Kluyveromyces lactis: one gene and its partner. The protein of the gene in region 2 interacts with the protein of the main gene of each other region in a pairwise test. Links are inferred from orthologs where the notes say so. Each region holds a gene or a part of one and is shown on either strand. Other genes may lie near its edges.

Evidence for each region. The genes of interacting proteins can lie anywhere in the genome.
Region 1: the proteins of YIP4 (region 2) and TVP23 interact in a two-hybrid assay, tested with the Saccharomyces cerevisiae proteins (2 studies listed by BioGRID). The link is inferred for Kluyveromyces lactis from reciprocal best matches to the Saccharomyces cerevisiae genes YIP4 and TVP23.

What each region holds. Positions count from the first base shown.
Region 1 is NC_006039.1:1,019,859-1,022,189, forward strand, and holds TVP23 (Tvp23p), read right to left. Parts: upstream 1,145-2,331; coding exon 557-1,144; downstream 1-556. Other genes in the region: RRP8 (25S rRNA (adenine645-N1)-methyltransferase), read left to right, coding at 1-443; AFR1 (Afr1p), read right to left, coding at 1,502-2,331. UniProt on the Saccharomyces cerevisiae protein: Golgi membrane protein involved in vesicular trafficking.
Region 2 is NC_006042.1:1,156,485-1,159,026, forward strand, and holds YIP4 (Yip4p), read right to left. Parts: upstream 1,221-2,542; coding exon 582-1,220; downstream 1-581. Other genes in the region: KLLA0_F12452g (uncharacterized protein), read right to left, coding at 1-26. UniProt on the Saccharomyces cerevisiae protein: May be involved in proper membrane localization of Rab GTPases.

The DNA.
Region 1 (2,331 bases), on a different chromosome or scaffold from region 2:
CAAATGAAAGAATAACAGTTGCCGATATCAGAAATGTTCCCTTGCCAGATGAATCATGTACGATCGTAGTGTTCTGTTTGGCGTTGATGGGAACAAATTTCCTAGATTTTATTAACGAAGCGTACAGAATTTTAGCTCCTCGTGGAGAACTATGGATTGCTGAAATCAAATCAAGATTTGGTGACGGGAAGGGTGAAGAATTTGTAAATGCCTTGAAACTACAAGGTTTCTTCCACAAGAATACTGATGACAGTAACAAAATGTTTACAAGATTCGAGTTCTTCAAACCACCTCAAGACATTATTGAAGAAAGAAAAGCGAAATTGGAACGTAGACAGAAGTTTATCGAAGTAGAGACAGAAAAGGAAGAGCTACAGAAGAAAAGAGAACAGATTCCAGAAGGAAAATGGCTACTTAAGCCATGTATTTATAAAAGGAGATAAAAGACTACCTTTTCGTTTTCCTTTGGTTAGAAGATGTATTATTCACATTTGTACGAGTGTCATTCCATTGATGTACCTAAATCTATGTACTTTTTAATAAATTTGTAGTTTTATCAAGACCTGGTGAAAAATGATTGCAATCTGGTCACTCTGTCGAGGTTTGCAAACGATGGAAGCATTGGAAGTTGGAACAATGGTGCTTCGGCTGTATGGCCAGGTTCCCATTGATCACATAAACGGTAAGCGTAAGCATTCCATAAATTTAAACCACCTGCAAAGATTACTAGTATCAAATACACAAACTGGAACTTAATCAAACATAAAAATCCAAAGACCACCCAAATAGTAGGAGCTACATAAAGTGACAGCCAAAATAGTTTTGAATCGATTGGGTTGATTGGGGCCGCCGCAACATCTGGATATTCTTTGAATGATTCAAATCTAAACGTCGTAGTGTCTTCTCCACTAACATCATACCACCATCGCTGTTGAATTAACTTTCTACCATTGATATTCTTCGTGAAGTAGAAGTCTGCTGCCAATGTTAAAATAACAATTATGAACTGTACTGTGGAACTAAGGAACCATGATCCTAACAAATAAAATACAATTGGCACCGCTTTTCCCAGAAGGTGGATCGTTAGAATCAAAGGATGAGAAGATGCCAAAATTGTCTTGTAGAAGTTTCTTGCTGAATCCATATCTACTATATCTCAATAGGCTGATCGATTTCCTTGACGGTATACCCTAGTTTGTATGAGTTTTCTAAGTCGTCTCTCTTTTCGTTGGTTCTTTGGTGTATTTTTGGTTCAAGACCTTTATTTTTCTTAAGGTCCGGAAACTCTGAAAGTTGCAGATTCATGAGAGAGGTATATTTTGCTGGATCTTTCATGGGAAATGATGGGCTAAGCACCAATAATTGTTGAAAGTTCATGGTGACGCATATCATTATAATTATAATTAACTAACTAAATTAAAGATTATATAAAATTATTGAGTTTGATTGTATATTAGTATTACCTTGTGTGTGATAGTATTCGGTAATTTTTTTCTTTGAGTCATAGAAAGAAATGAGTGTACTGAGAGCTGTTAGGATGAACTAGCATTTCTCTCTTCTTGAATTCATTCAGTTCCATTTTGATTCCGTCGATGTATCTGCTTTTTGACAATTGCTTCCGACTTTCAGGGAAAGCCTTATCAGACCTTAAATACTCCGTTGGTGAGAAAGTGTCATTAACGTATATTTCTTCATTAAATCTGCATTTTTTAGCAGATACAGGTGAAGATGAATCATTGGAACGTACTACTGAAGGAACTACTGCATTGAAGTGTACAGCTTTCCAATTTTGATGCAAATGTTCTATGATGCGATCGCTATGTGTGGTTTGCCCGTTATTATGGTGATGTATGAGTCTTCCTTGATAATCCTTTACCAGTAAAGGTCTCTTCGAAGAGCGCAAAGGTGGTTCAACGGTTGGTGGACTAATTCTTGTGCTTTCATTAAATTGGTTAATTAACGCAATATCGGAATTTTGTTGGTGTTGTTCAGACTTCAACAATAAAGAATCAAACACTAAATCGATGTCCATGAGATCTTTAAAACCATCATCTTCTATATCGTCTTCTGTTTCTAGATCAAGAAGTGAAGGAGGTTCTGCTGATTCAGATGGTAAAATAATATGCTTTGATGTAGTCGGTTTTGATGTAACCGCTTTCTGCCATTGAGTTTTAGCAGATACCTTTTCTTGAATGTCTTCCTTCCTGGCTTTTTTCTTTAAGGGAAACAGTTTTCTAAAGAAGGAACTCAATCTGGAGCTCGATCTCTTAACCGGAGAGGATTCCACTGACTTTTTAGCTTTCTCCTCTTTCTTCTCATTCGAGTTTCCTG
Region 2 (2,542 bases):
CAATTTGAGGGAAGAAGAAACGGCATATTCTACTGGAAAAAATTTTTTGAAAGTGAAGTTTGTATGGTTCTTGAATCGATGTGACAGCTATTGAAGCAGCTATTTGCTATGCGTATCTTGTATGCTCCTGGCTGACTAGCAGAACCCAAAATATCAAGAAGGGCCAACAACAGAAAAAAGGAAGATGGCTCCCAATTACTCAACAAAATAAACTCTGCAGTTTTCGTACCGAAACGTATTAGCACTGATACTAGACTATCGATATCTTAAGGTACAATCTGTGGTTGATGGATAATACAGCTTGTTCTCCCTCTTTTTCCTTTCACCGATGCTTTTGATCAGAATGGGATTCTGGTAATTCCTATTTCAAATCCTTTAAATTTCATCATCATTTTGCAGTAAAAGAGGCCAAGGGTGCAGCTTTTAATAGAAAATACAGAGGAGAATTAAGACAGAAAATGATAAGAGATAATTGATTGGTGAAAAGGTCCTTGTACTTCGAAGCATGTTTATATATTTATTTACAACAGGTTTATAAAGTGGATAGTTTGTTTTTTTTGGGTGCGTGCAATGCGGCCGATTCAACAAATCACAGATAACCAACCTAGCGTTACTAAACATAAAGCCAATGGGTATTTTTGAACCAAAGTCTGGGATTTCGATACTTTCCACATTGATATTATTGACCATGACGAACATAGTGCAAACGAGACGATTCTTGCTATCACTATTAGTCTTATAAGTGTAACTTTAGGGATCTTATTGAATAAAGGTAAGATAATTGAACATGCCAACGAATTGATCACTTGCGGGAACATGCAATAACCTGCAAGAGACAAATATGACATCCAAGACATTGGTTCATGTGGATTCAAAAGTTTCAAATGTGTGGCCATAGCACTGATCACCAGCCAACAAGTGATGAAAAACGAGGAAAACCGTCCACGACCCTTGGATAAGAACAACGAGTATAGTATAATGAAACATAGAGGGGCCCAGAGGTCGGTACCTTGGAAAACATGTTGATCTTGAGCACTTGGTGAACCCAATGGGAAATGTGGGTAGACTACTTTCTTTAATTTATCATTGATCTCATGGAAATCTCTTTTGAAAGTGGACACGATACTTTCATCTAACGTTCCTCTAGCAGAAGTGGATAAAGTGGAACCGTAACCGTTACCAGTCTCAGTTTCAATAAAATCTGGTTCAATGGTGTCCATAATTGGCCTTACTCGCTGGGATATGGTAATTAATTGTAAAAAAAGAATAAAATAGAGGTTTTTACTTATAAGTCAATTCAGAAGGAAGGCAACATGTTTTTTAATCCTTTGATACAAGCGTTATTTGTATCAATCAGAGATTGTTCACGCATAGTTATTCATCATTTGAGATTCGAACTGCCGAGAAAGTAACTTTTTTTTATTTGTCACAACTTCGGTTTTCTGGCAATTCGCGCAGACCGCCTGGTCCGCCCACTAAGCTACTGGGGGTTAATAAGAAGCAAGGTATTTCTTAGAGGCGTTTGCCCGTTATGTTGTGAGAGCCTATCACGAGACGTTTCCCAAACTGCAAGAATAAACATCCCCTTCGACCACAGTGCACGGTTCCATTACGCCATTCCAGCCTCTAGCATTTCCTGGTTCAATATCCTAAAACGACAACCTTGGGAGACGTGGTCATCGCTCATTGTTACCCTGGTTTCGTTCATAACGATTTCCCTCTTTCCCTCATTTTGGTCTCCCCTATATCATCACTATACATCATTTCTCTAACTTATCGGGTAGGGCAGAACCAACGAAGTGAGAACACATCCAAACCAACGGATTCTATGCCTTGGTGTTGCCCGAAATAGCAAGGTGCGGTAGCTTATTGTACGCCCTTGTTTTATTTACTATATGTATTTTTTCATGTATCCCTAATGGAGAATGTAACGAACTGCAGCCTGCCAGCTCTTTACATCTTGATTCTAATAATAAATATGGTAAACGAGTGGAAAGAGAAGAAGAGAAGAGAAGAGAAGAGAAGAAGAGAAGTAGGCAAAGAAGGCAAGGGACGTAAATGTCAGAGGCTGCGTGCGCGAGCTGCGGTGCGAAATGCTAGGCAGAATATAGACACTGCTACTGCTGCTGCGCAGCAGCAGTAGCAGTAGTAGTAGCATCTTTGCCATCGAAACCCGACATCTCTGAAATACCTAGCACCCTCCCGCTCACAAACAAAAACAGAACACAACCCATTCCATAACTAAATAGTACATATACGACACTTGGCAAGGCAACACTGGGCACTAGCCCCATCCCTAGCCCCAGTTGGTTTTCCAGTCCAATGCGAAGCGATACCAAGCTGACACTGCGACTTCTTTTCTTTTTTTCCCATATGAAGGAGAACAAAAGTGAAAATTGAGAATTGAAAACTTTCGGTAACGCTTTTTGGCATTACTTACAACTTGTGTTTTATTCATTGGGAAAACACGGTATTTTCAGTGTTTTCCTTCCCATTTGTTTCCGGGAAGATCATCAGTATTGGCGCCAGCTCGAGTCAGGTC